3 linked regions of the Alligator mississippiensis genome follow. The protein of the gene in region 2 interacts with the protein of the main gene of each other region in a biochemical or structural test. Links are inferred from orthologs where the notes say so. Each region holds a gene or a part of one and is shown on either strand. Other genes may lie near its edges.

Region 1 (7,080 bases), on a different chromosome or scaffold from region 2:
TTTTTACCATTCAATTTAAAGATTGAAAAGTAAAATGTGCTTTTACTTGGCTCCAAATGTTTATATTCTTTATACAGTTTCTTTTGCACAATCTTTTCCTCAACAGTGCCCTGCGCATTCAAACCTCGCCCCTTGCCCACAACCGACTGGACAACGGGACACTGTGACAAGCCAACCAAAAAGTTTTGCTAGGCATATTTCAGATCCTCTTCATTTGAGTGGCTTTCCACATGTGCATGTTCTACCAAAAATCAATCTGGTTTTATAGCCTTCGGGGCTGTTTCAGTAACACTGTGCACATCAAAAGTGCGCGTGTGTGAAATCTCTTTTCTTACAGAGGGAAAACTCTGAACTGCTGCAACTGACAGAGAAACACTTACAAATATGCTGTGCATTAGTGGAACAGAAGCACTTAGATCAGGTCAAATCCTGCTCACGCATATGGGAACGTTGGCACCAGCTTCAGTGGGATCAGAAACGTGCCATTACTTTGAAGAGCCAATATGGTAAAAATAGAACGCGTATGTAGACTTTCCACAGAAAATTTGGAAATTTTGGTTACGTCCCTGGGAGATGCATCGCCCTAGGACCATTCTTTTTAACCACTTCTCTCCTAGAAAAACCCTGAAAGACTTGGGTGTACACTATTTGTTGTATTTCAAATGTCATCTCAACAATTTCAGCACTCATTCTGCCTTACAGGACGGAGCAACACTGCTTCATTATAATACTGCTGTGGCCCCCAAATTTATAATCTGCAGATGCTCAACTCCAGGGGGCTTCCAACGAAGCTAGTGGAGACTTTCCAGATTTATCCTGGGGTTACGAAGAGCAGAATTTTGCGCATAAAAGCCAACCCTGTATATTTTTGGCCTAAAATAGGAAGAAAAATGCTGCCACTGAAATTCAGCAACCCCCTTGCTCAGCTTACTAGCGCACGCTTTTCTTGTTTCCTTTGCAAACCCCAAACTCATCTGCTTTGACAAAGTAGCTGTGATGCTGCACTATAAATCAATTCTTTTGGCTGTGAAAAATGAGCCAAACAAGTTACACTAAGAATCTGGTGTTTTATTAGTACTTTCTCAAAAACAAAACCAACCCCACGTGTGATTTATGGCCGTAACCAAAAGCGGGGGGGGGGGGGGGGGGTAGACAGAGTGCCCCCACCCCTAGCCTCCACGAAGCACATTTTTTTCCCCTGTCACTTTTTTGGCAAACATGCCTCAACCCTTTCCTGAACAATGGGAACTTTTTGTTTGGTGCAAGGAACCTTAAAAAAGAGTGAAGCAGGAGAGGCGACCTTCCATTAAAGAGCTTTGAAAAAATAAACAGACTCAGGTAGCAGCTGAGGCATATCAGAGAGACACCAACTTTAAACAGTCTCTCTGTTTTTAAACCAGTTTTTGTCATGTACCTTATCTTTCCTTACTCATGATAGAAACATTTTCATTCAAGGCAGGAGAAGTTAGTAGATTCCCATAAATATTTCCTCCCTTTCAACACGTTCGCAATCCAGTACATCCTCTTCAAAACCTCCTCTTAAAAAAATTGGGATAAAACAAGGGGTATCATAGTTCTAAGAAGCATCCATACACACACAAATGCTTGCCTCTCATTCAGTCTGGATTTCAAATGTGTGTCTGCAATCTGGATAAGCAAATCTCTCTGCTGTTGCAAACTCCACGTACAAGCTGTGCCATGAACCAAATCTGTTGATACATGTTGTATGTATGTGACTGCAGAGATGTAACAAAAAGTCCTCTAAGAAAGTGAGCTCAATTCTAAATCTATTCTCACTGGGTCATTCTAGCCCGGATAAGCGGGAAAAAAAAACAACTGCAGGACAAACTCTACCAAATAAACAAACGTCCTCCCGAGTCCAGAACAGAGCAATCTCAAGCACAGGGCTGCACTGTGGATCTAACTCGTATTTGAAGCTAAAGTTTCAGTTCTGACTTCGGAGTCTAAATGATCAACAGAACACTTTACCCCTTGCTTGTGGTCCGAAAGGTGCTTACATTTATGACTAACCTGGGATTTACTGTGTGCTGCGCTCCATCCATACAGATGAGCACTGGTTTATACGATCTGCCCTCCCATCACCCTACCAAGAACCGGCATACGTTCCCCTTTATCTTTGGCTGGCCTTTATCGCGCCGCGCGCTTGAGCAGCAATCCAGAGGTGCCGGCTGTCAAGTGAAAGTCTTGGAAACCTCTGGGAATGCAAAGAATCTACAATGCACGGCTCCAAAATGATACCTCTTATTAGACCGGCTGAGAGATTACAAAACATACATATATATATATATATATATATATATATATATTTTTGGAACCAAGATTTCTACATTTTTGCCTTTCTTTTCGTCTCAGAAAACCACCTACATCCCGGAACATTTCAAGTGGACAGTGGGCTTTGCCTCCCGAAAGCGGCGCAGGCGCCGGGCTTTGCTGCCCGAGTGCATGGGGGAGATGTGCGAGGTCCCTTGCAGCCCCAGCGAGGAAAGCGTCACCCTTCCCAGTTGGAGGGGTGGGGGGCGGGGGGGGAAGCAAGCTCGCCGGGGCGCCCAGCACCTGCCAAGCGCAGCCTGAGGGTGCAGGAGAGATCTGGCCCCGCACCGCCCCGAGCATCCTCCCTCTTACCCGTGGGCTTGCGGGTGCTCCTGTCCTCCGGGTCCGAGCCGGGCAGCGTGGCCGCCGGGCGGCTGCCGACGGTCCCCACCAGGTACACACAGAAGAAGGCGCCCCACGCAGCAATCATTCCTGTGGCCGCGCTCCCGGGACGCGGACTGGTCGCGGCGCTGCCCCCGCCAGCCTCAGACATCGCGGGGCCGCATGCTGGCCGCCCTGCCCGGGCTCCCGATCACGCTGCAGGCTCTGCACGGGCGACACGCGCGCGGCCCGTCAGCGGGCGCAGCACCCCCGGGCCCGCGGGCACCAGCAGGTGCAGCCCAGCCCCGGCCCGGCCCGGCCCGCCCCACAGCCCCGCACCGCCGCCTACCTGCCCCGCGCATGCAGGAGCCGCCGCCGCCGCCGCCACTGCTCGCTCCGCAGCCGCCGCGCTTGTGAGCCCGGCCGCCCGCAGCCCCACTGCCTGCCCCGGACCCCGCCCCGCGCTCCGCCCGGCCCCGGGGGAGGGTCCGTGCTGCCGCCCCGCCTGCCCCGCGGGCATCCCGGCCCGGCCCGGCCCGGCCCGGCTCCCTCGCTCCCTCCCTGCCCGCAGCGCACCTGGCTGCGCTCCCGCCCCTCCACCGGGGTCCGGCGTCCCCGCAGCGCCCACAGTCATGTGGGGCCGGCGAGCAGCGCCTCCCCGCTGTCCTTGCACCACAGCCGCCCTTTCAAGGCGTAGTTAAGATGATGGGGGGGCTCTGAACTAGAGACACGCGGGCTCCGCGGCAAGTTTTAGAGTCAGGAGGAGATCTGGGGGGAAATCTCCAAATGGGGACCTTTGCGTGCGACTGACACACGAATAGACACACCTCGTGATGTGGTTTAGGGACTCGGCGGGTCGTAATGCGTCGAGGCTTAATTTTGAGGGTCTGTAAGCAAGGCGGATATTTGTGGCAACATTTTTGGGACCCCTAAGGTGTGGGGCCCTGGTTTGCCCACCCCGAAGGCTGCTGGTAGCTGGGGGCGTTCGTGGGGCTGGGACTGCGGACCAAAGAAGGTATGGGTAGTCTTGAGAGCTGCCCCTGACACCGGTCAGGGACGGGGGTCCCCCGGTAGCCAGATTTGGGGTCAGGAAAGTATTTTACTCTGTGGTGGGATGGGTAGGGACTGTGGGGGTTTTGCCTAACTAGGGGGTGGGGGTGGCCCTCCACCCAGGACCTCTGCAGCCTGTGTTGACAGTGTTTCATAGGGGCAGGACGCTGGGTGTCAGGTCTGTGCTCTGTCAGGGTTGATGGTCCTCTTGTTCAGAGTTTAGATTATGGACTGCACGGGATGGTTTGGATAGGGCTGATCCTGCCTCAGGTGGAGGTTGGACTAGATCAGTGGTTCTCAGCCTTTTTTGTACCGGGACCCATGTGTAAATGCTGTGTGGGGCCAGGGGTCCCCAAGCAGCCCCTTGCAAGCTGGACCTCTGTCAGCCTGTGAGGGAAAACTCACAAGTTTCCCGTGTTTTTCCTCTTTAAAGGAAGATCCATTTTTAAAGTTTGTTTGTAAACCTTTCATATATTCTTGCAACCCACTTTTGGGTCGTGACCCATGGTTTGAGAAATGCTGGACTAGACCCCCTGGAGGTCCCTTCTAGGCCTACTTCTATGATTCTTTGATTTCTCCCCTCTGATCCCTTCTCAGCACCTTGCCACCGGTGTCCCAAAAGGAGACATCCATCCAGGGATTATAACAATCAGTAGCAAAGGGATTGAATTTGATGATCCTTGGTTCCTAACAATCTAAAGCGAATATTACGGCACGTGGCCACTTTGAGAGTCCCTTCCAAATGAAAGATGATGCTCCAGGTTTAAACGCGCCTCAGGTTCTTATAGGTGGGGTGGAAGGAGAGCTGAGAAGAGGAAAGAAAAGTTCTGGATGGATCTCCTCAAAATGACGACAAACATCCTTTGCAATCCTGTAATGCAACGTAATGTAATGCGATGTAACACACTAGCGGGGTTTGATGATTCATTAGGTAGTATTTCCACAGCAGGCTGGGTAGCTGCGTCTGTGGAAGTGCTAGTTTTCATCGTCGTCATTAAACAGGGACGATCCGTATTTTATCCATCACTGGATTTTCATGTACATCATTGCTAGAAATGTATGTACAGCTTACATCACACATTGTCCCTGAAGATTTCTAGCCCTGTGGTGCCTAAACAGCGGGTGGCATTATCTAAAATGTTTCATTATATTTTTAATGGGACGAGGGCAAATTGACAAAAGTGTTATTTCAGATTGCATTAAAGCAGTCCAGTAAACAGAAGCACAGACTCCAAGAAACCAGTTTTAAGAGACTCTATACTATAGAGCCGGGTTCTTTAGCATATTTCCCTTCCTCTGAACAACGTGAGGTTTTTCTGTCCAGCTTCTTCACCATGTGTGGAGATTAAAATTCATTAAAAATTTTACAGCTATCTCATCATCATCTAAGGCAATGCAACATACCTACAGATACAGCCAAGCTGACTCATTGACATGCACCATTTGCCATTAAGAGGTGATTCAAATTGTATCATACTGAGAATAAGTCATACTTCTGTCTTAATCCTCTTGACAAAGTAATTCACTGAAGGAGGGAGATGCAAATATTAGCACATCAGCCGAGAAATCCCTTTATCAGGGCAGCAATAAAGCGCTCTTGTGCTGGAGTAGTTCACCTCAGCCTGTGCGGATACAGGACATTGTCAGAATTATAAAAACCGAACGTGAGTGTTACAGCACGCGGCAGCTTTGAGAGTCCCTTCCAAATTAATGATGATGTGCCAGGTTTAGATCTCAGTGTAACTCTAGAGTGGCTCCTGGTTTCACTGGAATTACTCTGAGTTTGCACTGTTGTAACCGAGATGGGAATCTGTCTTGAAACCTTCATCAGTCACACAGACAGTGACATCTCAATATCGTGTCAGAGAGCATTGAGATGGGCCTGTGGCAAGGAAATCTGAGCGGAGACTCTTGAGTGACACAATCACTTCAAGTGAAAACAATGGGGGGAAAATCAGACGCATAACTAAGATGTGGTTAATCTACAGGCTCAACAATTGGTAAGATGAAAGACAGTTACTTTCACAGCGCTTGTGTCAGAGGTGGCAGAAAATCAATAATAATAAAGCAATTATAAGAATAAAAATAGCGCGTGGAGCAAATTTGGAGGTCGTTATCATTTTGAAGACATCCAGGCTCCTGTTTTTTGAAAACGTGATCTCATATTATTGTATTGCCAGTGCAAAGAAAATCAGAAGTTTACCCAGCATTAATTAATGAACCCTCACACTTCCTCTTTAATTATTATCATCCTTGTTCTATGAGGCAATGGAGACTGAGAAATTAAATGCCTTTCCTAAGCCACAAAGTGAGTCTAGAAGAAGCAGTAACGTTTCTCTTGCCTCTAGGTCTGTGCTCAGGATGCTAGGACGTGCTATCACATCAGGTGATGCCAAGTGCTTCCTCAACTTGGTGAAAATATGAGTGAATTTCAGGATTACCTCTTATGATTCCTAAGAGATGTAACAACCTAGAAATCAAATCATGTAAACACAACCCTTTAATGGGTCTGAACTGTTTTTCATTTGGAGCTTATAACATTTGGAAGAGCTTATGATACTTGGAAGCCCTTTACAAGAGGAAATTAAAGTGGGATTGAGATGGTTCTGTAAGAACTTCAAGGTTTGTAGCTTTCCCTAGAGTGGAATAGTTTAAGTTTTCCCTTTTATCAACTCCTGGCCCAGTGCATTCACATTGAACTGTGGAATACAGATCTGCTTAAATGCTGATTTCTGGAAGCTGGATCCCCACTGGTGGTAATTGTAATAGCTCCCAAGATATCATGTGCAGCAAAAACTCAGATTCTGGATTGTGTCTCAGCCATGCTCCCACTATAAAATCCATTTATGTGGGACTGTAAACACTACACAACACTGTTTGAGTTGATTTTTATGGTCATTATGCCATAAGGTACATACGAACCAGGTTAAGTACAGCTTTCACCTTAATTTTTTGGTACATTTGTCAGTGAAAAAAATCATACTGCAGGAGTGGCTGGCATTGCTAATTCTTTGTTTACTTTTTACCACTGAAGAGACTGCGTTTTCAGACTTCTCGTTAGGCTTATTGGTGACCTTGAATATCCCCAGCTGCATGGAAAAGCAATTCTCTTCCAGATGCTCTAGAACAATAGATGCCCTTTTTCCTTGTGAATATTTGATACGAGCGTACCTTGCTGTATTCTCAACATCGGATTCTGTTCACATTATGTTCGAACGACATATATGCTGCACTCTGTTCTGAAAGAGACTGTCCGTCTGCTCTCTAGAGAGAGCAACTTGTTCAAAACCCTAAGACAAGTTAGTGTCAAAGCACCAAGAAATTAACTCTAAGAATGACTGTCTCATCCAGTTAGCTCTCAGCTTTCCCCCCACTGCT
Region 2 (7,654 bases):
GCGCCGGAGCAGCGCGCGGCCTCCTGCCCGCCCCGGCCGGAGCGGCCCCGAGGCCGGGCAGATACGAATACCACCTATAAACCTTCCTCCCCCCGGTCGCTGGAAAGCCCAGCTGCAATTTATTGCATGTCCCTCCGTATTTTATTAGACGTTTTATTGCCTTTATCTCGGGTCGTGCAAGACACCGGAGGGAACTCCAGCTGCACTTTTTTTTTTTTTTTTTTTGGCTGGGTTGTTTTGCCGCCAGCTTTGCAAGGGGGCCAGCGGGGGGAGTCGGGCCAGGGCTCTGGGAGCTGCGGCGGGGCCAGAAAGGTGGGTGGGTGCGACGGGCAGGAGCGGCTCTAGAGCAGGACCCTGGCATTTCCCAGGGGCAACAGGACGGGCTGGGCCTCTGCAAGAGTGGATCCTGCCCCCTCCGTGCCGGAGCCCTTTGGAGATCGTCAGTCCCCGGCGGGTGTTATCTAAGCAGCCCCACCTCGCACTACCGCGCAGCTTAGATCCTGTTCGACATCTGGTAGTCAAGCATGCGGGGGGGGGGGGCGGATCACCCCAGGACTTTGTTTTAACGACCTAGTTTGAGTGCTGTCAGGTGGGTTCACTCACAAGTTAACTCCTTCCGAGAGCCTGGCCGGCTGGCTAGCTCCAGGGGGCGCGATCCCCCCCACACACGCACACCCCCCTCCTGAAACACGGAGTTTGTCCGTGCAGAGTGGCTCGGGGCTGTGTATTCGCCCAGCCTTCAGCCTTGCCCTGGCAGAAGGGCTGCTCCAGGCCCATCTGCCGGGGGCGCTCGGGCTCTTGGTCGTGGCTGAAGCCGCAAGCCCTCCAGCCTCCCTCCAGCCCTCGATGCTGAGTCACAAATAGCGCCCGCTGGAAATGAAATCTGCGGAATGCTCTTTAAAATTAGCTCCGGGCTTCACGCGCGCATAGCTCCGGAAAGCCACATTTTGCGGCATGCCGCTGCCTCCCTCCCGGCGGCCCCGCGCCGGCTCTGCCCTGGATACCTGCCCGCGGCCCCGCGCCTACCTTCCGGGCCGGCGGAGCAGCCTCTCGTGCCGGCGGCTGCTCGGGCAGGTGCTGCAGGGGGAGAAAGAAGGAGCAGCCTGCCTTCGCGTGCGTACAAGGCGGTAGCCACTCCCTGGAGGAAACTCGGTGGATTTGCAATGGTCGTGGTTAATGATTAACACCCCCCCCCCACCCTTTAAAGTCGCGAAATCAGCCCATTCAGTAGAAACGTCCTGAACACAAAGCCTTCCCATCTTCTTCTCCCTGAGCCGCAACTTGAGGACACGGGAGGCTGCTACTAAAAATACCGAGACTTCGCTAAGTGCTCTTGCTTTGCTGCAGTTGTGCCACTCGTCCAGCAGCAACCCCGGACCCCAGCCATCGTCGCCACCACCACCAGCAGCAGCATCCAAATCCAGCCTCCTCCCCCCTTAGTTCTAGCACATTTCATCACATGGCCGCTAAAGGGTTAAGGATAATACCTACCAAATCTGCTGTGGTCTTGCCTCGTTCCCTGGATAGTACCATTGGGGAAGATTTCTAAATGAAATCCAGTCCTGCAGTAGAGCTGCCTCCGCCTGAGGATCCCCTTTAAATGGTCCAAGTCAGTGACTGCAGGCCCCCTGGGTAGCCCACCTGCCTCGGACTGACCCAGGTGGTCACTTAACAAAACCGGACTATCCACCGGCAAAACAGGCACATTCCCAAAGGCTACTGCATCCTGCACACCGAAATAGTTCCCAACTTCACCTAAGGGAGCCATCAGAAGATTCTGCTTTTAGAGAATAAGAGCAAACAATAATGATGGTGCCAAACCCAGGAGATACAAGATTAGGTATATCCACTCCACTCCCCTCCCTACTGCGGTTACAGAGAAAATGTTCTTTCTTCAATCCATTAAATGCATAAATAAAAGTAATATTCTGGCTGGAGTGGCACAGGTTCAAGGTCAAACCAGTTAGTCTAAGAAACCACCACTTTCTACTCACACACTGACATATGTATAAACATCTATATGTGTATCTCGCTATATGTATAGATAGATCCCCAGCTCTTAGCAAGCAGTAAGGTCTTCAGCCCATCCAACTGTAATAAGGAAAAAAATCCGTAGTTTCTCCATTTGGTTTAAGACAAGAATGACCATAGCAACTTAAATACCTAGGCGTTATAGGGATTTTTTTTAAGATGCACAGGCTACGTCAGGATTTATGGATTCTGACTCCAGAAAGGCATGCGCTGTTTTTACTCTATAACAGACTGCATACATCAGCATGAATCCTGCAAAGGGGGGTGGGGGATCTCACGTTGTTGGCTGAGATAAATCCAAAAAAAAAAAAAAAAAAAAACTTTTGACGTCCAAATCTATTATCCAGAATCCTCAGGAGGCTCCGCAGATGTCCATTGGTTTAGGATTATTGGCGATCCACAAGCAAAGCAGAACCGTACAAGTGCTTGTGTCTGTCTTGGCTGGCTCGAAACAGGTGTTGCTTCTGCAGGGCTCGCTGTGCAATGTTGTACTCCAGCACTGAGCTGCAGCTCTTGACTGTGGGTCTCCATCCAGCACGCAGAGTGGCGCAGGAAGAGGCATTGGGCTGGGTTTAAGGTAGTCCTGATTGCTGCCGGGAGGATTCTCCGCGGTCCTAGCGCCCAGCTCTACCTGCTGCAATACCGCTCCCCTTCCAGCTCTGCCCTCCTTCGAGCGGCTCTAGCTGCTCTGCGGCAATCGCGCCTGCAAAGGAAGAAAGCGGCGGCCAGAAACTTTGTGGTGGGCAGGAGCCGGGCGCTCCCTGGACAAAGCGGCGCTGCCGCGGGAGGCAGCAGCTCCCGGCAGATGCCTGCAGTAGCCCAAGTCCACCGTGACATTGAGGAAACCCCCCCTCGCTCCGCTGCTTAGCCGGGGCTGGGCTCCGCCACTCCCGGGCTGCATCCCATCGGCCGCGGAGTGCGAAGCCTGGTCCCCCGGGCCAGGTGCTGCGTGCGGCCAAAGCCGCGGCTTGTGCCGCTGCCCCTTGTGCCCATCGCTGCAGTTTCAGTGCATGCTGGATGTGCCGCAGATCCCCCCGCCCCAATTCCCCTCCCTGGTGCATTCACCACGGCTGGACTTCGCAGCACCGCGGAGGCGCCCCTCGGGGCCGCGCGGGGGAGAGCTCCAGCTCAACCCGGCCGCGCTCCCCAGCCCAGCCCAGTCCTTCCTGCTTCGCTTCCCTGCCATGCGGGGCTCCCCCCTCCCAGAGCCGGGCTTTCCCCCTGCAAAGCGCCGCACACCCACGGCAAGGCTGGGCCCTGTGCCCCCCTCCCACGACGTCACGGCGCTGCGGGCCAAGGGGGGCGCAGAAGGTTCCCTGCAGCAAGGCTTGGGTGTGCTCACGTGGAGGGGAAAGACAATTCCGTGAGCCCGCTGGAAGGGGAGGAGGGCCAGCGCCTGGGGAGCAGGCTGCTTGGGAGGGATGTAAGAGCGCGGGGGATACTTCTCCAACGTGGCAGGGCACAAGGCTGTGCAGGCTGGAGATCCTGCCTGGAGAAGAGCTTTGCAACACGGACTTGCTGGTTCTTTTAGCTTAGGGGAAGCACCACAAACTGGAGTGACCTTTCCCACTTTCTCCAGGTATAGCAGCCCTGTCTTTTACCCGAGGGATCCCATCCTTCCTCTGCCCCTACCCCCTCCAGTGTGGGCAGCCACTTCAGAGGGAGGGACCAGGATTATCATTATCTCCTATTTTTGTGATCATGGTTGTAACTTGAGTATGTCATACTAGCTATTTTTATGAAACTAATTATCACACCCTGTTCCACTGACACATATGGGGCCTGTTATGCATGTATTAACTTTACTGTGGTGGTTACTGTTTGTATTATGACAGGATCCAGAGGCCCCTGCCAGTAGCTGTGTTGGCAAGTGCTTGATGCTGTACAAACAGAAAGAGATACAGTTACTGCCCCAAGGTGTCTACTTAGTAGGATTTAATTGTTCAGTGGTAGACAAGAAAAAGGTAAGACAGCCTCTTCTAGCTTTATAAATAAAAATTGTGGTATTCTTCAGGAAGGGCCTAAAGCACTGTTATCACAACTGTGTACATTGCTGACATGCCCAGTGGTGATAACTGTGAAAACCTGTAGAAATATTTGAAAAAAATGCAGAACTCCCTGTGTCATACATTTATTGTTGTCAGGGTTCACAGCTTTATTATAGTAGGTAATGTAGGCACCTGGGATAAAAGAGATGGTGTCTGCCCTGAAGATTTTATATTTCTAGCATATGATGAAAAACAACAGGTGTATGCTTCAAAGAAGGGAGGATAAGGAGAGAAGGCACAGACATGAATAGCATAAGAAACAGCAGGCCTACCTAACATCAAGCATTTTGTGACAGAGGCAAGTTTTAGAGAGAGCCAAAGAAGAACAAAGTAGTGGCTTATGGATATTAATGGAAACTCTTTTCATACCTAATGGGTTACATGGGAGAGAACCCAAAAACCCTTGCTAGAAAATTACTTTAGCAGTTAAGACTTGCACCATTGGCAAAGAAGTGGTAATATAACAAAGTGATGGTACAGATTAATATGTGTTGATCTACCACATATTAGAAATTAGAATTAGAAACAAGTGGAAAGGGTATTCCCAACTCCTCCCCAGTGATATAAAGAATACATTTCTAACCCTGCAGGATGATGAGAAATTGGATTTTAAATCTGTCACCAGTCCAAGTTTGAATACCATCCAGCCTGTGTTTCAAACCAATATTATATGGGAAGTACATTTTATTTTGGAGGGTAAAGAGATATTTTTGCTAGTTATTTTTTTTAAAGGCACTTAAAAAGATGCATATGCCAACATATACACATATTATGGGATATAGAAGATTTTGTGGTATAAAGGTTTTCTCTAACTTGAGGCTTTGATGTCTGAGTTATTTCATAAGGATTAAAGCCACACATGAATTATGCAGGTCTTCCCCAAAATTACATTAATCTGTGAGTAGGCAGTGCTCCATATGCTGTATAAAGTCAAATTTACCCCTCCACAAAAGTTTGGTTTCATTGATATCTCAAGCAATATTAAAAGTCTGCACTTTTATTCCAAAGATATTCATTCAGGAACATCTCTACCACTGGTCCCCTTCAACAAGAGATTCCCGCCCACCTCCCTATAGCCTGGCAGAGTTAAAAGACTGCATCTGCCACAATGAGTCATCAGAAGTTACTCAGCAGCTTTATGCAGGATTTTAGCTCCCACTGACAGAGTGGGTCAAAAAAAGCCCTGCATCCCTATGCAGGGTCATAAATCTTGGCACTGTTACATCATTGTGTATTCTTCCCACATGTACCACATCAATATGGTATTTGTGTGATAGGGTGAATGTATAATGTAACTTTTACCCAGGATGGAGAATACTCTATCCTGGACCAACCACATGATATATCTAAAATCCTGTGCCTCACAACCTTGTAGAGGTAGAAATGGATTTTCTGTACCATAAAAAATATAAGATCCAGAGTTTTCCAGTAAGATACATAATGTTTGTGTGTAGTCATAGAAATTCTTGAGTTATCAGACCTTAAATCGCTACATTTTCATATAGGGAAAAGCCTATTTAGTATGGAGTGCACCAGAGAAAAAGCTAAATCTATGTCTTGCTCCCTTAATCTGTAGGAAAATCTGCTCGTATCTGAACAAATTAATGCTTCAGACAATGTTAACTCTCGTTCTGTGTCTAAACCCCTATAACTGAAAAAGGCTGTTTAACTAGATGTGGATATAAGATCCATTGTGAGTTTCTTTCACTAAATGATTGCCTGCAAACACAGGGGATTGGTTTTGATGGCCCAAGAGTCCCTTTCCAATCTTACATTCCTATGTTCCTTGCCTTCACGGTGCCATGAAGAGGAGACCTGTCAACACTATGAAGGAATCAGATCTCTGTGGGGCTGTTACTTCCTTTTTTCCAGGTCCCGCAGATGTTGGAAGTTACAACATGTGCCTCTATAGGCTCCGAAATAACCCACTGTGTGAACTTAAGGAGGTTTTCCATACTATCCTGCAGATTTCATTGTAGGAAGACAAAGCTTTATTATTGCTGATCTAGCACTATGCAACATTTGCAATGGGAGGACTTTGCTGCATATATAACCAACCTGTCCATGCCTTGAAGGGTTTACTTTCACTAGGGAGATATGATACAGGATAAAATGAACAGAATAATACACAAATGAAAAACCTTGCTTGCAAAGGCAAGCATAGCTCTGAAATGTAGGCACTATTTCAGGCTTCATCACAAGAATTCTGACTTCGAAGGTACTTTGAAATAAGCTGTACGTATGAACAAACTGTGTTGCTGTGTTGCAGCATTTCCCTCCAAAGAGGCAGGGGCAGGGAGGGCAGTCAACTATTAATAGCACCAATGAAACCTGCAAAGAAGAAATGGCTGGGCAAATACTATTTCAATTTAGTAGTTGAAGACTGCTTACACCCCTGGCTACAAAATTCTAGATTACCAGAAAAAAATCAGTAATATACCTCTAAAATGATTTGGCCATGGACTTCAAGTCGCCCTACCCTATAAAATAAATGCTTATAAGTCTGAAGAAGATTGACGTACCAGAATACAGTTCATTTCCCATTTCAGAACTACATAAGAATACATCTAAAATCAGATACTGCTAAAAGACTAGAATCTTGGAGTATTTCAACAACCCTCATGGCACCAAGACATTGGCTGCTGTTGTCCCCTTTCTTCACCTACAGCAGGTTAAGATGTTATGTCTTGTGGTTCTGTCAGGGTTGATTGTAGTTTTGCCAATAGGTTTAACAATGGGTTTGTATAGAATGGTTTGGATAGGGATGATTCTGCCTCAGGCAGAAAGTTGGACTACATGACCTCTGGAAGTCCCTTCCTGCCCTCTTTCTCTATGATCCTAAAGAAGGAAATATGGAAAAGTGAAACACACAAGAACTATATTTTGCCTGTGCTGAGTAATTGACATATATAAAACTTTTCAAGCTAGAGGATTATAAAATGCACTGTGAATTTTACACATGGGATTCCAAGTAAAAGCTGTTAACAGGTAGAACTAGAAGATCAAACTAGAAAAGAGAAGGGCAGCAAGGATGGTCAAGGTATGGCAAGGCTTCCATGTAAGGAGAGACTTAATAGGCTGGGGCTTTTCACTTTAAGGAAAAGAAGACTGATGGGGATATGTGAACGGTCGATAAAATAATGAATGTGCCATCTCTCACGATACTAGAAGTACAGGACATGCAAGGAAATTATTAGGAAGCATGCTTAAAACTAACAAAAAGACATTCTCTCTCACACAGCATGTATTTAACTTGTGAAACTCATTGCTACAAGATGTAGAAGATGACAATTTAACCAGGTTCCAAAGAGAAATTCATGCAGGATAGGTCCATCGATGGGTATTAAACACAATAGTAGGCCTTTAATTGCTGGAAGCAATAAGAGAAGAACAGCAGGGGATAACTAAGTCAAGAAAGACCCTAAATAAATATTCTTACCTTTAGCATCTATTCTGTGCCACTGTGCAGTTGAGAATACTGAGCTCATTGGACTCGTGGTATGACCCAGTATGGCATGTCTTACATTCTTATGTAGTATCACAGTTACCCTTTGATTCACAGTTACAACTCCATG
Region 3 (8,090 bases), on a different chromosome or scaffold from region 2:
AAACACAGTAATGTGCAAAGCAGACCCACACTTGGAAAAATAAATATCCAAGCGCACAACGCGCAGCCATTTAACCCTTCCAGGCAACATGATGTGTTGTGCCTGGAGGAGCGGCCCAAGGACTCGGCAGCTTCAGTGACCTGGAGAAGATTGAAAGCTGTGTATTCTGGAGAAGGAAATTAAAAGCTCTCACTTAAGTGGCCTCTCGACGTCCGGAGCTTGCTCTGTGCACCACATCTGATAGCTGACAGCCTTCCCTGCCTGGGGAGGGATGTGAAAGTGTGGAAAGGGTCACAGTCCTGGAGGCCACTAACACTTAACAAGTCCCCCCGAGGTGTGCATTTATTCCAAACAGAGGGCAGCCTACTGAACAGGGGGGAGGACAGGATCAGTCCTGCCCCCTCATCGTGCCCAGAGGGCCCCGGATCCCAGTTCTACCGCCAGCTGAGATGAGATGAAGCTATGGGCTGTAACGTCCCCAAAATGGGCATAATCCTATTTGGCGGCTGGATAAGAACTCGCTGGCTTTTCCTGCACTGAGCTGAGAGGTGCGAGAGAAGGGGAGAGGACAGGCACGCGTCATTTCAGCAAGCGTGGCTGACCGGCGACGGGGACAAACATGCACCAAAGAGAGGGCAAAGACCTCTGAGGCCTGGCTGTGGTGGAGGAAGCTCAGCTGCCAAGGACTAGTGCATCTGTGAGCTGATCAAAACCAAACGGCCATTTCCAGGGGGGCTGGAGGCGCCAGAGCAGCCAGCACGTGCGTTGCGAATGCAACAGGCCAGCACGGCAGGCAAAGCGAGTTGGAGTTCCCGTTTTTCAACTCAGCACACAGCTAGGGGGAACAATAAAGTTGCCTGCCTGAGATCCTGGAAGCAGCTCGGGCTTCCCTTCCAGCCCGCGCGCCTCCCGGTAAAGTGGAATGGAAGTCACCAGGCAGCCAGCGTTCAATGCTGACAGATTTGTGGGTCCCGAGGAAAACGGCTGCTAGCCTGGAGCCGGAGGAGAGCCTTGCTGCTTCCTTGACCGTTCCAGGGCAGGGACTGTCTTGATTTATTTTAATCCTCTCCGAGCAAGACAATGGAAAGGCACCGGTGCGTGCCAGCCACCCCGGAGATTAAGAGGGGAAGTGCTTCTGTGTGGGGAAAAATGGCTGTCAGCCCCAGCAAAAAGCAAGGGCCCTCTCCACTGATCTCTCAAGACTTGGCAGGACCCCGTCTCCTGCACACAAGCACACACACACACACACCTCTGTTTGCACACTGCCTTGGTGGGAGCTGAGGGGAGCTGGAGCAGCGAGGTTTGTTCAAGTCTGAGAGCGAATTTGGCTTCCCCCATGTTGGGGACGCTGGGAAATGAAACCCTTCGCAGCATACACACTGTATCAGCCAAGGCGGGGGTAAAGCACGTCTTAAAGTTCAAACGTTCACCAAAAGGAAATGGTATGTTCAACCAGAACAGCTGCCCCTGCCCCCTGTCCATTCACAGCACATCAGTTAGTTATTCACCGCCTCCAAACACGGCACAGGAGCAATAACAGGCACCCTCAATCGCTAACAGCAGGAACTGAATAGGTTAAAAGCAACTACGTGACTCAAGGTTTGGTTGGAAGAGGTACAGTGGTTCCTCATCCCCACTGGGGTGGTTCACACAACGAACCAGCACAGGAGAATTGCAAATCTCGCCTCTGAAAATAGCAGCTGACTGATGCACTGGGTGGGTTAGATCCCTATACCACGTCCAGCCAAGGGAACGGCTTGCCAGCCCGGAGCGAGCATTCACCACTCCCGAACAAGAGGGATTCTCCAACGAAAACTGCAAACGGCTCTGAATAGGGAATGACAGACCCTCACCATCTGGCGGTGGGCCATTTGGGAAGGGAACAGTCCCAGTTGGTTGTAAAGAGAGAAGTCAAGAAGCGCAAGTCAGCTCCCTCTCCAAATCACACTGTTTTAAAGAGAGGTAAACATCAGGTTCCTATTTGCTGCTGATTTTTGAGCCTGTAGGGCTTGTGTTTGCTACCTCCCTCTGCCATGTAAGGGCCAGAAGTGTACTTTAAACAAACAAAATGAGGAGCCAGTATAATCCCAGGACTCCGAGCCCTGGGACTTGAAGAAAAACACCCTGGTTCTCTTAACACCTGTGACAAAATCCTGAGAAGGCCACTTGGCACCCAACAGTGATTTTCAGAACTGCCCAACACACCAGGCCCTTGCCGCAGAGGCGGCTGGGCTCGGTCTCCGCAGGCCAGGCCGGGAATCCGGTACCATCACAGCTACTCCGCGGTCGCACGCCGCGCTCAGAGTCCAAAGCTCACTTTGCACCGGTTCATCTTCACCAGCGCAAAAATCCTGCTGCTGGCACGCACTACGTCTCTTGCTGGGTCCAAGTGCCGGCAGGAAGGGCTCCCAGCAGTTTTGCTCTTTTGAGGATGCCATGCAGATGTGGCCCAGGTGGAGAGGGCAGGAGAACGGCCCCCAAACCCAGGCGCGTCCCCTCCCCGCCGCCTGACACCCGTGTTCCCGGAAAGGAACCAAGTGCCTCTGACAGCAGACAGATCCCCCCAAGCACCTCGCGCCCAGCCGGGTACCCGCAGGCCCCTTCACCAGCCCGCGGGGGAGCACCTCCGCACGGGCCCCAAGGCAGGGATCTGCTCACCCAAGAGCAGGAGCGAGCGAGGCCGGGTGTGGGGAACAAAGCGGGGCCGGGAGCGCGGCTCCCTCTGCCAGCCCGACCCGGGCCAAGCCGCCTCCGCGCGGCCGGGGAGCAGCACCTCGGACGGGGCCGGCCCGGAGCCCGCGGCCCCGATCCGGCGGCTCGGCGCACGTGGCCGCCCGCTCGCACTCGCACAAAGGCGCCGCGGGCTCCGAGTTGGCGCAAAGTTTCCCGCGGCGCCGCCGCTACTCACCGTGCGGGCCGGCCCTGTCCCGGCGCGATCCGGCCCCGGCAGGCAGGGCAGAGGCGCAGCCCCCCGGCCGCGCGGTCACAGCCCCGGCTCCATGCGGGGGGCGGTGCGGCCGGGCCGGGCCGGGCCGGGAGGTGCTGCGGGAGCTGGGCGATGCGCGGCCGCTGCCGGTGCCCGAGTCCCGGCGCTGCCTCCGCCGCCTCCCGCTCGCTCCTCCCGGCTCCGCCTTCCCGGCTCCGCGCCCCTCCCGGCCCGGCCCGGCCCGGCCCGCCCGGCCCCGCTCCCACCGCCGCCCCCGCGCCGCCAGCCCGCCCGGCTCGGCCTCGTGGGCCTTGTAGTCCCCGCACCGACCCGCTCGCACACCTGCGGGGGGACACACACGCACCCCTGCTCGTGGACACACACACACACACACACACACACACCCTGCGGGCACACCTGCTTGTGGGGACACAGACATGCACCTCCTGCTTGTGGACTTGTGGGCACCCCTGCTTTTGGGGATACACACACACACCCTGCTTGTGGGCATGCGGGCACCCCTGCTTGTGGACACACACACCCTGCTTGTGGACATGCAGGCACACCTACTTGTGGGGACACGCACCCCCTGCTTGTGGACACACGCACATCCCCCCCGCTTGTGGACATGTGGGCACCCCTGCTTTTGGACACACACATACACACATACCCTGCTTGTGGACATGTGGGCACCCCTGCTTGTGGGCACACACACACCCTGCTTGTGGACACACATACACACACCCTGCTTGTGGACATGCAGGCACACCTGCTTGTGGCAACCCTCCCCCCCCACCCCGGTGTGGACATGTGGGCACACCTGCTTGTGGGGACACGGACACGCACCCCCTGCTTGTGCACATGCGGGCACACCTGCTTGTGGGGACACACATATATCCCCTGCTTGTGGACACACACACACACACCCTGCTTGTGAACATGCAGGCACACCTGCTTGTGAACATGCGGGCACACACACACTGATAAAAATCACTGCTCAGCAGATGTGCAGCGTGCCGGAAGAGCAGGCCTGGTCAGCACCGCTGTCCCTGGATGGACTGCAGCTCTCACAGGTCTCCTACTCCTGGCTTTGGAGCGGGGCCGCTGCATCCTGAGGGCTTGGTGCAGAGCTGACTAGATCCTGGAGGTATGCACCGCTCCATCAGGGGCTTCTGGAGAAACACAGTGCAAAGAAACCCTCTGCTTGTGGGCAGCACCCTGCCTTCCACACGCTGCGTGCGGGGGAAACATGCTGCACATGCTGCTATGCCACGGCCCTCCCCCAACTCTGCTCAGCTTCAGCATCCTCAGGCTGCCGTCCCCCAGGCAGGGCAGGGTTGAGAGGGAGGGAGCTTCCCCCAGGCCGGGGGTGCCCGGGCTAGTGCTGACTGCACAGGGAGGTTCAGTTCTGACTCAGGAAAATGGGCAGCCAGGCAGGCCTGAGTGAGACTGAAGATAACTCCTGGCAGGCAGAGGAAGATGTGTACCAGGCAATGTGCAAATGATTACATGATAATATGGACCAGGACAGACAGAATTAGCCCTGTCAATCACCGTGACCAGATTTGAAGCAAGTACTGGGCATCCATCTCTAGAACCAGAGCAGTCCGTCCCCGGCTTGGGCAGCTGCTCAACTATGGATGCCCAAGCCTGTTATTGCATGGGCTTTTTTTTATTGCTGGGCTTGATTGATAAATACCCGTGGATGCAGGGAGTGAAGGGAGGGAACTGCACCACCCAGGACTGTCTCCATGCAGAGCAGGTCACCACCGTCACAGGGGAAGGGTTTCCAAAACACAGACCCCCGTGCCGTGACAGTGGGGTGAGGGAGAAGATGGACACCCAGAGCCTCTCACAAGTCAGTTTGCACAACACAACTGCCAGTTTCAGAATGAAATTAGAGCGAGCATCCTTCCTCGCTCCCCAGATCACCGGGAGCAAAATGCCCCACACATTGCAGCATGGCACCGGTGTCAAAGTGCCCTCCTAGCCAGATGGGTCACAGAGGCTGGGGTTTTCTGAAGGGCTCCATGCCCACAGTCAAAGAGCTCAGCCTCTGGAGGCAGGGTGACCCATCCCTAGTGTGAAGACCTGGACAGCAGCATGGGACATGAGCTGCCCATGGAGCACAGCAGGGGGGCAAGGACGCCAAGGGAGCGTGATACTCGGGGACAAGGGCTTCTTGCTTGCTTTTCACTGCTGTCTCTGCAGCAGGTCCCCAGGACCCTGCTGAGCTTTTGTCCCAGGCATAATGTGGGCCCTGAAATGGCTTTGCTAGAATTTGGACCTCAGCACCTCCCTGTGATAAGGAGAGCAGGGCTCACCCCTTTGCCCCTATTGTTACTTGAGAGATGGCTTCCTGCCTGGCTGGATTAACAAGGCAGAAGCCTGATGGAAGTGGTCTGGTATTTGGGGGCTCTGATTAAAGCATTTGTAGCCTGCAGAAGTGAGGGAAAGAATCCTAGCTCCTGGGAGGCGGATGGGTTTTGCCCATCATCCTGCTCCCGTGCTGGCAACCCCGTGCCATACACCAGTGCTTCAGACCCATAGCTGCTGGGTGTTGTTACCATCTGGTGCCCTGGGTACCCAGTCAGTACTAGTCAGTGCCAGGCCCCTTGCTGGGATGTGGAGCAAACATGCCAAGGAGACCTAACCACCCCTGCCCCAGGGGCAAGTCCTGATGGGGCATTGCAAGCTGTCTGTACTATGCCTATGGTGCACTGGTGTATGGCTCAGGAACCAATAAAGCTGGGCAGGAACCCTCCAGCCACACTGGCTTGCTGCTGGGGATGGGCTGTAGACAGGGACTCCATCCTTGTTCCCCACAGCAGGTTGCCCAGGGCTTCTCTTCACTTCTTCCAGCTGGCTGCCAGGTAAGCAAGTGCAGAAATCCATTGCATGGATTGCATACACCATAAGAAGGGGGGCATCCTTTTATGACGTGCATGTACAGTGCCTAGCACTCATTATAAATTTAACTAACTAATGGTGAGCAGTCAATTAATTACTGAACAATCATTATTCTTACACTGACAGTGGGCTCTGTGCTCGGCAAGACGCCAAGGGAGATTGTGCAGCCTGTAAAGATTTACACCCTCAGCCTCTGTTGACCAGCCCTGTGCTGCTCTTCGAAGTCCCCAGCACCCTGGCTGGGAGAAGCTGGCTCCCAAAATGGAGCACCATAAAAGACTGGGAAGAATGAAACAATAGGGCTGTTTTTGTCTGGCCAAAGTTGCCTGGTTAAAGATCTGCAGCCCCCCAAAGGGTGCCTTTTCAGTCCCAAGGCAGAGTTTAGAAAACAAAAGCAGGCGCATGGTGTTTAGGTTCAGAGAGGGGGAGGCAGGAGGACAAAGAGCTTCCCCTGAAAGGTTCTTGACAAAGACTGTGTCAGCCTCATCTCTCCCTGAAAGGCTGGAGCACACGAGGGTGCAGAGCCATCCCGAGGCAGCTGGCCAGCTTGCAGGCTAATAAACCCCTGCAGTCAGAGACAGGCAAGGTGCTCTGCAGCCCCACCGCCCTAGGTATGTGCAACAGTATCCATGTGCAAACACGTGAGGGATCATCCCTGCATGGTTGCACAGGCATTGTTTAGTGTGCACCCATGAAAGGGACTGCAGGCATCTGTATGGGTGCCAGTGCACATCTCATACCCAGGGGGTCCGAGGTGTGTGTATATGTACATACGTGTGCCACGTAGCTTCAGCCAGACTTCTGTTGCTGCTGGGAGCCTGCTGGCTAGTTGGGTGCTCTGTGGGGCCTCCAGGAGAAGACTGCAGGCTCCGATGTGACAGCCTGCCTGCGCTTTACCCCCAGGCCCCAGTGTGTGCTGCAGCAGGGGCGCAGTGGCTTGGAGCCTGGCTGCCCTGGAGCGTTAGCCTCCTGTGCAGGCGGGCCAGTGCAAACCCTTTGAGCCAGCAAAGCCCAGGCTCCGGAGTCCCCCACCTCTGCTGCTCCCGAGCCCATCCCCAGCAGCCTCGCAGTACCATTCCCTTTGCAGCTAGCAGTGCCCCAAACCTGTTTTTTCCCTTGGCTGCATTTCAAAAGCACAGCAACATCCCCCAGCTGCTGCCACTTGGCTGTTTATCTGATGGTAATTAAGTGAAAGTGATCCATCTGATGTCTCCAGGGAGCAGGCAGGGCATCCTTCAGCTGCCCATAGGAGAGGAGAGACCCAGAGCCCAACTGACTCCCTGTGGGTTTTACCCCCAGATGCAGCATTCAGAGAGCACTTGGCATTTGATCAATTGGGCAGGCAGCAAACGGGTGTACTGCATCCCATCAGTAAAACTGGAATCTGGAAGCCAAGGCAGAGGGGTGGGGGCAAAGCATCAGAAGGGTGGGAAAACATGGAGAGTCGAGGCCTGGGAGCAAGGGTTATGCCTCCCGGAGAGAGGAGTCAACATCTCACCCACCACAAACCAGCTAGAGGGTGCAAACATGCAATGCCTTTGGACCCCTGGGTAGGACCCTGCTCCCATCCACGCTGCCGTGACTCCACTCAGGCACAAAGCTCTGGACCAGCACCCATCTAATCCAGAGCAGGGTCCCTGTCTCGTGTCACGTACATAAGCAAGGCGCCAACTTGGGCTGGTTGAGAAGGGGGCTGTGATTTTTCCCCTTAGAAAAATATTAGCCTCCCTCAATTAGGGAGGCCATTGGATACAAGTTGCCATTGGATACATGACAACTTTGGATACATGCCGATTGAAGAAAGGTGCAGCAAATGGGAAAAGAGGGACTGAGAAGTGCAGATCAAAGGTTAATGAGTGCTCCAAGGGGGGACCCCCAGCAGGGTGGGGAATCGGGATGTGGTGCCACGAGACACCATTAGATGCCGCAGGCTGGCAAGACTCATAGCATGCATCTCAACAGCCAGGAGGGAGAGCTTCAGCCAGCACTGGGGCATTGCTTATCCTTCCAGGTGCCGAGGGCAAAAGCCTTCAGCGCTCCATGCTTGTTCTCAAAGCTGGGTCTTTTGTTGCTCTGCAGGTCTGATACTGTGATATGAGGCCCCTTCAAACTGCAGCAAGGGAAGTTTAGGTCAGATATTAGGATAAACTTGCTTACTAGCGGGGTAGTAAAGCACTGGAAAAGGTTACCCAAGAGGTGGTGGAATCTGCATCCTCAGGGGTTTTTAAGGCCCAGCTCAACAAAGCCTTGGCTG

What was found.
Region 1: the proteins of FGF9 (region 2) and FGFR3 form a complex in vitro, tested with the Homo sapiens proteins (3 studies listed by BioGRID and IntAct, with this or other methods). The link is inferred for Alligator mississippiensis from reciprocal best matches to the Homo sapiens genes FGF9 and FGFR3.
Region 3: the proteins of FGF9 (region 2) and FGFR1 interact in a biophysical measurement, tested with the Homo sapiens proteins (2 studies listed by BioGRID and IntAct, with this or other methods). The link is inferred for Alligator mississippiensis from reciprocal best matches to the Homo sapiens genes FGF9 and FGFR1.

Annotation. Positions count from the first base shown.
Region 1 is NC_081825.1:18,442,014-18,449,093, reverse strand, and holds the start of FGFR3 (fibroblast growth factor receptor 3), read right to left. Parts: upstream 3,089-7,080; 5' UTR 3,002-3,088; intron 2,878-3,001; 5' UTR 2,825-2,877; coding exon 2,644-2,824; intron 1-2,643.
Region 2 is NC_081824.1:432,939,159-432,946,812, forward strand, and holds the start of FGF9 (fibroblast growth factor 9), read right to left. Parts: upstream 3,053-7,654; 5' UTR 1,769-3,052; coding exon 1,492-1,768; intron 1-1,491.
Region 3 is NC_081830.1:18,131,441-18,139,530, reverse strand, and holds the start of FGFR1 (fibroblast growth factor receptor 1), read right to left. Parts: upstream 3,089-8,090; 5' UTR 2,909-3,088; intron 1-2,908. UniProt on the Homo sapiens protein: Tyrosine-protein kinase that acts as a cell-surface receptor for fibroblast growth factors and plays an essential role in the regulation of embryonic development, cell proliferation, differentiation and migration.